Linked DNA regions of Sus scrofa. The protein of the gene in region 1 purifies or fractionates together with the protein of each later gene. This does not show direct contact. Links are inferred from orthologs where the notes say so. Each region holds a gene or a part of one and is shown in the gene's direction. Other genes may lie near its edges.

Region 1 (5,311 bases):
ATCTTTTGATCTCCTTTGTCCACAGAAATATGTTCTTTTATATAGGCATGCTGCTTTTACCTCCTCCCAGGGCCCTCCCTCTAAAAAGATGAAGGCTTTCTTTGGCACAGAGCTGCTTTGACTGTGACATTGATCCCAAGAGACAGTGGAGAGAGGTGACACGGTAAACAAACTGAACTATCTGGGCTTGCTCCTATAGTTCCTTTTTGATGATTTGGGCCAGGACCACTAGGGGTTTGAACTAGATTTAGTAAGGTGCAGGCTCTTGGGGTTTGGCAGGAAGCAGTCAGGGAGTATGCTGCAAAGAGAATACAAAGCACCCTCCCCCTTTCCCTGGCCTGCCCTTTTTTTTTTTTTTTTTTTTGGTTTGCTTGTTAGGCAACAAGATGTCCCTTTTAGCCAAAGGTGCCAAGCTGAGTCTCAGAAGCCAATAAAAATGTCTGTGGGTAAGGGACAGTTTTTTCCCTCATCAGTGGATCACCACAGCCACTGTTAAAAGACAATCTCTGAAGTTCACTAATGGAGTTACCAGAAAGGTCTATTGCTTTTGTTTGAACGAAGATAAAGTGTATTTACATGATTTCTAGTGCAGTTAAATTAAAAGCATTTTCTAAACGAACCTAGAAAGGTGTTAAAGCGAGAGGGCCCATGAAATAGGTCACTCACTTGTAGCTTAGGTGGCAGCAGGAAGAACTTCAGACACAGGAACACAGTGTAACCCTTCAGTTTTGAAACGTTGCTAGGTCTTCCCGTGCTATAAATGATCAAAGAAACATCTGGGTAAATATTGCTCCTAAAGCTTAGCTGGCTTTAAGGAGTGTTGGGTCTGACTTCCGTTAGTTCAAGGAAACAAGCATCCAGGGACTCTTAATTTGGGGTCTTCGTTCTTGGACAGAGTCATTAACACACCAAAATATTACGTGCAGGTGTCCCAGCTGCAGGAACTTCCAACAAAGGCAGAGCTTTCGCTGATGCCTCTTAGGAACAGTAGCCAGCAACTTGCCAGGCCTGGGGGACTGGGCGGGGAGGTGGTGAAGGGTTGGAGGTAGCCCTTCCCCTCTAGATGCCCATTCGCTTGGCAGGGTGGAGATCCTGGGGGTGGGGGCCTGGCTGGTCGGCTCTAAATGTAAATAGGAAGCCACGCAACTGAGCCAGAAATAGTTACGAACTGACAGTCTCCGTCTCTGGCGAATACTTGGTCCGAGTGTCTGAATATACGAAAGGGAGGAGGCTCGCCGCCTGGGTCAATCTGCACAACCAGGTGAAAGACCCGCAGGGGGCTGGATGAGGGGCTCAGAGCAAAGACTCAGGGGAGGAAAGGCCAGAAGAACTACGGACACTACCTTGGAGGGATGGGGAGGCCTCAGTTACCGCCTTTGGAAACGATCTCCCCTGGCCTAAACATATTAAAACCGTTTCCGCCATTACAAGCCGACACCAGACGGGAGGCGGGAGCGCGCTCCCTTTGTCCCGCCTCCCGGGCGGACAGCCCATGGGGCGGAGGGAGCGTGCTCCGGAGGGGGCGCGCCGCAGCAGCGCGTACGTGGTCCGTGTGGAAACTGGCGCCCGCGGCGGCGGCGTTCCGCGGGCGGAGAGGAAGGGGGAGGCGAGAAGGCTGCGCACCGCCCGCTCTTCCCCACCCCCGCCCCCCGCCTCGGCCCTAAAAGGGGCTGGATGGGCAAGTTGGGCGCGATGGCTCGAGCCCGGGCAGCGGCAGCTGCGGCTGGAGGCGGCGGCACGTCCTCCTCGCCCCGGCGCCGGCGGTGATCGGAGCGAGCGGCCGCGGCCCCCGATGAGACTGTTCGTGGGCTGGCTGTGCCTGAGCCTGGCGTCCGTGTGGCTGGCGAGGAGGATGTGGACGCTGCGGAGCCCTCTCACCCGCTCCCTGTACGTGAACATGACGAGCGGCCCGGGCGGGCCGGCGGCGGCCGCGGGTGGCAGGAAGGACAACCACCAGGTACGCGGCCGAACCCGGGCCCGGCGGGGCGGGGGCGTGGCGGCCGGCCTTCCCGCGCTCGGCCGGGCTATTGTGCCGGGCGTCGTGGCGAAGGGGCCCCCGGGCCTCGCCCCAGCGCCCCACAAAGTTTCCCCCGCGTCTTCCCCGCCGGACGCCGGGTCCAGGCCCAGCGGTGCCTTTTGTTCCGCGGCGCGGCGGACGACGGCCTCCCGGGTCCCTCCCCCGCCCAGGCATGGGCGCCCCGGAACCCCACATTGTTCCCGGGTCCCGGGCAGTGATTGCAGGCGCTCGGCCACCTCGGCGTCGGCTCCCCGGAGCGGGACCGAGGAACTTTCGGGCCAGCGCGTGGTGACGGGGACCCACCTGGCACCGGGGCCTGAGATCTAAATAACCGGATCAAACCCATTACCCCGGACGGCCTTCATTACCCCTGAGAATCCAACCGAAAAGCCGGTCCCTCTTTTTGTCTGGTTGAATCTCTGAACGTACAAAGGGTCATAAAGAAATGTAACCGTGCGTCGTGAGCCATTTAACTCTCTGGCTCCTTCGGGTGACATTTTCCCTCTGCCTTTAAAAAAATGCGTTTGACAGGTCGTCGTCACTCTTGTCCTATGGAACCTTCCCTAAGGGAGATCTCCTTTAAACTTGGGTGTTGGTGTCTGACTGGCGAGATGCGATAGGAACGAAGATGGTGCGAGCATTTACTAGAAGGGTTTTGTTAAAAGAGAACTGGGCAAGAGTGTTTTTGTTTTTTGTTTTTTTTTAATGAGTTATGGTTCTGGATCGTGGAATGATGCGATGTGGCCGGCTGGGTAGTCTTCATTAGCTTAGGTTTGTGCCACTGAAGCCTGTGGAGGTCCTATCTGACCATAATGTCGTTTGCGGTTAACATTTCATTCATTGAAAAGAGGCTTTTGAACTCTGCCAGAGTGTTGGCATATCATAGCCAACATTTATAGTACATGTTGGCTTCTCAGAGAGCAGTAGCTAATTATTCCATCTTGTGTCTCATCATTTTCATAGCTTTCTCGTTTTCCTGTGTTACTTTTCTTAATATACCAGGTGTTCAGAGAGCAACACCCAGGTTGTTTTGATGTGTTTTCATGAAACTAGAGAATGATCTTAGGAGACAGAGCAATTCATTCAGAAAAATAGTATCTAGTTTTTATTTATTAAATATTTATGGTGGCTCTTTTTCTATTTTTAAAGGAAAACATACTTTTTTTTTCTTCTTCTTTTGTAATCCCACAGCTCTTGTACTTTGTTAGGTAATCACTCCTATGATATTGTTCGGAGTGTCCTTAAAGTTAGTAGGTGATCTTAACTTGTAAAACCACATTCTTGGCTATAGAGTAATTAGTCATTTTTAGAGTTGGGCTATACTGACACTGTAGTTAACCAAAATGTCCCATATCCATAAGGAACATGGATAATGGTGTAAAATAATAAATAGAAATGTCATTTCCAACAGTCGATGGACCTAAGGTTCTGGGTAGGATGAAAAGAAGACCTTTCCATTGATATGGAATTACGGTCAAATCTTTTGGCTGTAGGCGTTTATTACAACACTTGTGATTATCTCTATTGCAGTACACCTGATACTTTCAGTGCTCAAAAAAGAAATGGACTAATTTAAAAACTGAGAAACTAAGGAACCTGATTTTTGTGGATCCTAGGTAGAATTATAGCTGTTGACATAGCCTCAGAATATCCTCTAACAGATGATACTTTTTTTGTTTGTTTTTAAAGTTTTACTGAAGTATAGTTGATTTACAAGGTAGTGATAATTTCTGCTATACAACAGAATGATTCAGTTATACATATACACACATCCATTCTGTTTCAGATTCTTTTTCCACATAGGTGATCACAGAATATTGGGTAGAGTTCCCTATGCTATACAGCAGGTCCCTGTCGGCCAATCATTCCGTGTACCTCAGTACATGGAATATGTATATGGCATTGGCATGTAATTGGCATATGCCAGTCCCCCACCCCCAGTCCATCCCTCCTTTCCCACTACTTGTCCCCTTTGGTAACCATTAGTTTTTCAAAGTCTGTGACTCTTTCGCAAATAAGTTCATTTGTATCTTTTTGTTTTGTTTTGTTTTGTTTTTTAGGTTCCGCATATAAGTGATATCATCTGATGTTTGTAGAGGATACTTTGTAATTGTGTATCTTTTTAAAGCGGAATCTGTCAGCTTCTAAGGAATACTAATACTGCTTGCAGATACCTCATTTACTTCCTTATGCTTCTAAGATATTCAAATGTGTGTATGTTTTAACCAGTTGCACTTCATTATTTAGCAGCTAATTTCTCCAAAGTGAAAACTAATCTGGTGCTTTCTGAATATTGGGAGGTGGTGGGGGACATTGGCCTTTTTCCTTCGAATAATCAACCCAGACATTGTTTTGCGTTGATATGTTCACATTATGGCAGTGTTGTCCATGAATAAAGATGAGAATGAACAGAAGAAATGTGTATAGGAACCACAGTGAGAGACAATGGAATCGACAGTTCTGTCTGCATCATGGATGAGTTGATGGTTTGTTATCAGCTCTGTATTCCAGGATTCCGCTTTGCTTTATCAACTTTGTAGCTTGTGAAAAAACTTAACTCTAACGCTTTCCCCCTTCAAATTAGTAGTTTATACAAGGTCTGCTGGTGTTCATCTGGCTGTGTGGTTTCCATAGCTAGCCACATCTGGTTCTTTTGGAGCTGCATGAAAGTAGGGTTATGGTTTTGATTGAACCATACTTAGCATGAGGTTTTCTTATGGTTATTTGATTAAGAAATTATGGTGGTGGATTCTATGCTTAAAAAGAGAGCTCTCAGGCCATGTTTATTCATTAAAAATAGCTATTTAGTTACAATAGCCTGGAGAGGCAAGACTCCTTTGAGCTAAAGCAACTTTAAAACATAGTCTGCAGCACCATTTTAATAACTTGGTTTGGTGTGCCAGTTTCAAAGCTAGGATTATGTTTCACTTTGGGAAAGGGGGAAGCAAGGAAGGGCTTCTCTCAGAGCAGGGATATGGCTTGCATGTTGAATTGAGCTCACACGCTCTTTTTTGCACAGACTGTGAGATAAGAATAGTTTTATACTTTTATTCATTTACTTATTTTTTAGGGCCACTCCCGCGGCATATGGAAGTTCCCAGGCCAGGGGTCTAATTGGAGCTGTTGCTGCCGGCCTACACCACAGCTCACAGCAATGCCAGATCCTTAACCCACCGAGCAAGGCCAGGGATCGAACCCACAACCTCATGGTTCCTAGTTGGATTTGCTAACCACTGGGCCTCGGCGGGAACTCCAGTTTTATACTTTTAAATAGTTGCAAAAATATTTCGTACC
Region 2 (4,720 bases), on another chromosome or scaffold:
CCACAGAATTCAAATTGGCAATGTCTTGTGATGGGGTGGGTAGAGGACTGTGATGGGAGTTGGCTTCCTGACCACAAGTCAGCTTATTACTTGACCTCAGTATTTTCCACTGTAAAAAGACTGTGAGGCTCAAATGAGATGATAAGAATAAAGGTGGTGATATTATAAAGCTTCGAGTTTACTATAGACATAACCACTCAGACCCTGGTCTCACTTCTGTTTCTAGTCAGGTTATTTAAAATCATTAATTTCTACTTTGTTACATTTTCAAATGTGCGGTATAGGTCTGCATCTCTCTGTATAAACTGTATATTTTTCTGTTTTTAAATGTGTTTTTAATTGAGCCATTAATGAGAAATTAAAAATTGCCTTTTAGCTGCTTTGTCTATGGCCATTTTGGTGAATTGCCATTTTTGCTTTTAGTCCTTACTTACTTAAGTGATTTTTCTTCTGAATGTATGTGGTAACTATTTCTTTAGGAAGTTAGCTGAAGTGAAATAATCTGGTTGAAGATGGTGTACCTTTTAAATCATCCCTGAAGAAGTCTGTACTGACTCCTGCCAGCAGTTGATAAGAGTAGAGGCTTTTGGGAGTTCCCTTTTGTGGCACAGCAGAAACGAATCTGACCAGGAAACATGAGGTTGCAGGTTCGATCCCTGGCCTCACTCAGTGGGTTATGGATCCGGCGTTGCTGTGGCTGTGGTATAGGTTGTAGGTACGGCTTGGATCTGGCGTGGCTGTGGCTGTGGCGTAGGACGGCAGCTACAGCTCCGATTAGACCCCTAGCCTGGGAATCTCCATATGCCACAGGTGTGTCCCTAAAAAGAAAAAAAAAAAGAATACACGCTGTTGGAATGTGCCAGGCAGAGGAAGCTTGTTGGTTTGAATCACAATCATGGGTGATAATTAGAAATTAAAAGGAGTTGGAGTCTAGACCTGAATTTATGTTGATCATTATCTTTTCTCTAGGGGATTTGGAAACCCCGGAAAATACCAAATCCAGATTTCTTTGAAGATTTGGAACCTTTCAAAATGACTCCTTTTAGTGCTATTGGTTTAGAACTGTGGTCTATGACCTCGGACATTTTTTTTGACAATTTCATCATTTGTGGTGATCGAAGAGTGGTTGATGATTGGGCCAATGATGGATGGGGTCTGAAGAAGGCTGCCGATGGGGCTGCTGAGGTTTGTACTTTCTTGTTTCTTGTACATTTATATCTTTTATTACAGGTAACTAACTGCTGCTGTTGTGAAAAGCCGTCTTCTAAAATTTGTCTTTTCTCTTATTTGGGAATATTGGCATAGAAAGTGTGTGACCTCTGTGTGCTCAAGACAAAATACTGGGTGTTTGGATATGGTTTCATTAGGCGAATGTAATGGCTTTAGAGTCCATATTTGTGTTACTTACAGTGTATTTTTTAAGAAATAGTGTTAAGACATATATATAACAAAATTTGCCATTTAGGGTATATTTTGAGGCATTTTTAACTATTGAATCTTGGAGTTCCCATTGTGGCTCAGCAGTAATGAACCCGACTAGTGTCCGTGAGGATGTGGGTTTGATCCCTGGCCTTTCTTAATGGGTTAAGAATCTAGCATTGCCATGAGCTGCAGTATAGATTGTAGCTCAGATCCTGTGTGGCTGTGGCTGTGGTGTAGGCTGGCAGCTATAGCTCTGATTGTACCCCTAGCCTGGGAACCTCCATATGCCGCAGGTAAATACTGAATCTTGATTTACCCATAAATGGAGTTTTTAAGGAATTTGTCATATGGCCAAGCTGGGAATTGGAGAGATAGAGACATTGAGATCAAGAAATTCTTGATTCGTCGGAGTTCCCATCGTGGAGCAGTGGTTAACGAATCCGACTAGGAACCATGAGTTTGCGAGTTCCATCCCTGGCCTTGCTCAGTGGGTTAAGGATCTGGCGTTGCTGTGAGCTGTGGTGTAGGTCGCAGACTCGGCTTAGATCCTGCGCTGCTGTGGCTCTGGCGTAGGCTGGGAACCTCCATATGCCGCGGGAGCCATCCTAGAAAAGGCAAAAAGACAAAAAAAGAAAAAAGAGAAAAGAAATTCTTTGTTCGTTGATCCCTGAGGTTAAGGGAACCTTTGCAGGTGATTAAGAAGCCAGCTTTCACACCTAGGAAAGGAAAGTTACCTTGATGATAAGGAGAGCAGGAAAATTAAGGCTTTTCTCTTCTTTCCTTTTTCATCTGTATAAACAGCTAGGCTTGAATGAATCCTTTGAAACAGCAGGTGCCTGAGTAGTGCCTTGCAGTAATTGAACAGTGGAACAGTACAGCCACAGCCTGTGTTTGGTGTTAAAGGTCAGAAGGTGAAATCAGTCCTGTCTTGTTTTTCAGCCAGGTGTGGTGGGGCAGATGATTGAGGCAGCCGAGGAGCGCCCATGGCTCTGGGTGGTTTATATTTTGACTGTGGCATTACCTGTGTTTCTTGTCATCCTCTTCTGCTGTTCTGGAAAGGTATGAGTTGTTGGTTTGTTTTGTTTTTTATTTTGATTCACTTTTAGTCACTCTTATAAATTGCCTGAAATTTTCTTTGTAGCAGCTCAGTAGTGACTGGGCCACATACTGTGTTGACTTCTGAAACCTGTTCACTACTCTTAGTGGCTATTTAATGTTCCCAGGTGGGAATAGGATTTGTTAGCTCCTAGTAGAAGCCCCTAGTAGTTTCTAGTAGTATAGCCCACTGTGTTACTCTCCTTTATATTTGGCGGCAGCTTTCTAAAAGAAAAGAAGAAACCAACTTAGATATAAAACCTAGCCATCTGGGCACAGACTAGCTTTTCCTTCTGTCATAGTTATTTCTATTCATGTACTTTATATTTCAGTCTTTGATTCCTCATTATCCATTCCTTCCTCAGTATCCCTACCTTCCCTCCTGGAAAAACACATGTTAGGGGTATTCCACAGCCTTATTGTAGGTTTTTCTTGTTTAGCCTTTGATATTTAAAAATTTAGGGAGTTCCCGTCGTGGCGCAGTGGTTAACGAATCCGACTAGGAACTATGAGGTTGCAGGTTCATCCCTGCCCTTGCTCAGTGGGTTAACGATCCGGCGTTGCCGTGAGCTGTGGTGTAGGTTGCAGACGCAGCTCGGATCCCGCGTTGCTGTGGCTCTGGCGTAAGCCGGTGGCTACAGCTCCGATTCAACCCCTAGCCTAGGAACCTCCATATGCTGCGGGAGCGGCCCAAGAAATAGCAAAAAGACCAAAAAAAAAAAAAAAAATTAAAAAACAGGAGTTCCCACAGTGGCGCAGTGGGATGGCAGGCTTTCTGCAGTACTGGGAGGCAGGTTTGATCTCCAACCCAGCACAATGGGTTAAGGATCCAGCATTGCTGTGGCTCGAATCTGATCCCTGGCCCAGGAACTCCATATGCTGCAGTGTGGCCTAAAAAGAAAAAAAAAAATTGCAAAATAAAAAACAAAATTTTGTGTAGGCCCTCTACTTCTACTAAATGAGAATTATGCTTTACCTTGCATTCAAGATGTTTTGTAACCTGATCCCCAATCTTCCTTTCCAGCCTTATCCCCCACCATTATTCTGCATATCTGTGCCTCAGTCACCTTGATTAATAATGAGACCTGCACATTATTGTCTGAACCCTTTGCTCATACTGTTTCTTTTACCTTGAACCACACACATGCTTACTGAGAGGAAGCTGTGAGGCAGGAATTCAGTCTTAACTCATTTCTGTGTATCTACCCCAGCATATATGCTGGGTACAGAACTTTGCTCATAAGCATTCAATAATTATGTGGTAATGTAATCTATAAAATGTGAACAAAACTATAGTGCTTTGGGGGCATATTTCAGAAACAGGCCAGTCCTGTGGAGTATAAGAAGACTGATGCTCCTCAACCAGATGTGAAGGAGGAAGAAGAAGAAAAGGAAGAAGAGAAGGAAAAGGGAGATGAGGAGGAGGAAGGTGAAGAGAAACTTGGTAAGAAGTAGACCCCAAGATGTTTCAAAGCTGTTTATGCCAATTATTGGCAAGGTTATTTTAGACTCTAGAGGTATGTTCTAATGCTAATTTTGGGCTACTAAAAACAAGTGTAAGGTTTTGCTCATTTGTTTTACTTTGACTTATGTCTTAGAAGAGAAGCAAAAAAGCGATGCTGAAGAAGATGGTGGCACTGTCAGTCAGGAGGAGGAAGATAGGAAACCGAAAGCAGAGGTAATCCGGGGGGAGAGTATATTTTGTATTTCAAGCAACTCAAGTGAAGCTACATTTAAGTAGAGAGTATTTTCATAGGGTAATTTTTAGTGGCTGTGGCAATAAAAATTCTGTTACAGCCAATTTTGTAAAAGTGGAATTCTTAGCAACACAAGTCAGCATTTTATAATTTCTAATTACATCTTAATCTCAGAAGTATTTTATGTGTTGAAAATGGTTTTCTGGAATAAGCAGAAGGTTGTGGGGAAAGACTGATAAAATGCTTTCTGCGATGACAACTTCAGGTCATTTTATAATTCTGTCTCATCATCTCTCTCTCCTCATTGTGCTCTTAAAAAATATTTCTTGGACAGGAGTTATTAGCTGAAGTGAAATAATCTGGTTGAAGATGGTGTACCTTTTAAATCATCCCTGAAGAAGTCTATACTGACTCCCTGCCAGCAGTTGATAAGAGTAGAGGCTTTTGGAAGTTCCCTTTGTGGCACAGCAGAAACGAATCTGACTAGGAACCATGAGGTTGCGGGT

What was found. Proteins that work in one complex are often made in the same cells at the same time.
Region 2: the proteins of METTL9 (region 1) and CANX purify together in Homo sapiens (co-immunoprecipitation; 3 studies listed by BioGRID and IntAct, with this or other methods). This does not show direct contact. The link is inferred for Sus scrofa from reciprocal best matches to the Homo sapiens genes METTL9 and CANX.

Annotation. Positions count from the first base shown.
Region 1 is NC_010445.4:23,716,451-23,721,761, reverse strand, and holds the start of METTL9 (methyltransferase-like protein 9 precursor), read left to right. Parts: upstream 1-1,608; 5' UTR 1,609-1,792; coding exon 1,793-1,957; intron 1,958-5,311. UniProt on the Homo sapiens protein: Protein-histidine N-methyltransferase that specifically catalyzes 1-methylhistidine (pros-methylhistidine) methylation of target proteins.
Region 2 is NC_010444.4:78,884,159-78,888,878, reverse strand, and holds part of CANX (calnexin), read left to right. Parts: intron 1-969; coding exon 970-1,185; intron 1,186-2,361; coding exon 2,362-2,481; intron 2,482-3,834; coding exon 3,835-3,961; intron 3,962-4,115; coding exon 4,116-4,195; intron 4,196-4,720. UniProt on the Homo sapiens protein: Calcium-binding protein that interacts with newly synthesized monoglucosylated glycoproteins in the endoplasmic reticulum. It may act in assisting protein assembly and/or in the retention within the ER of unassembled protein subunits.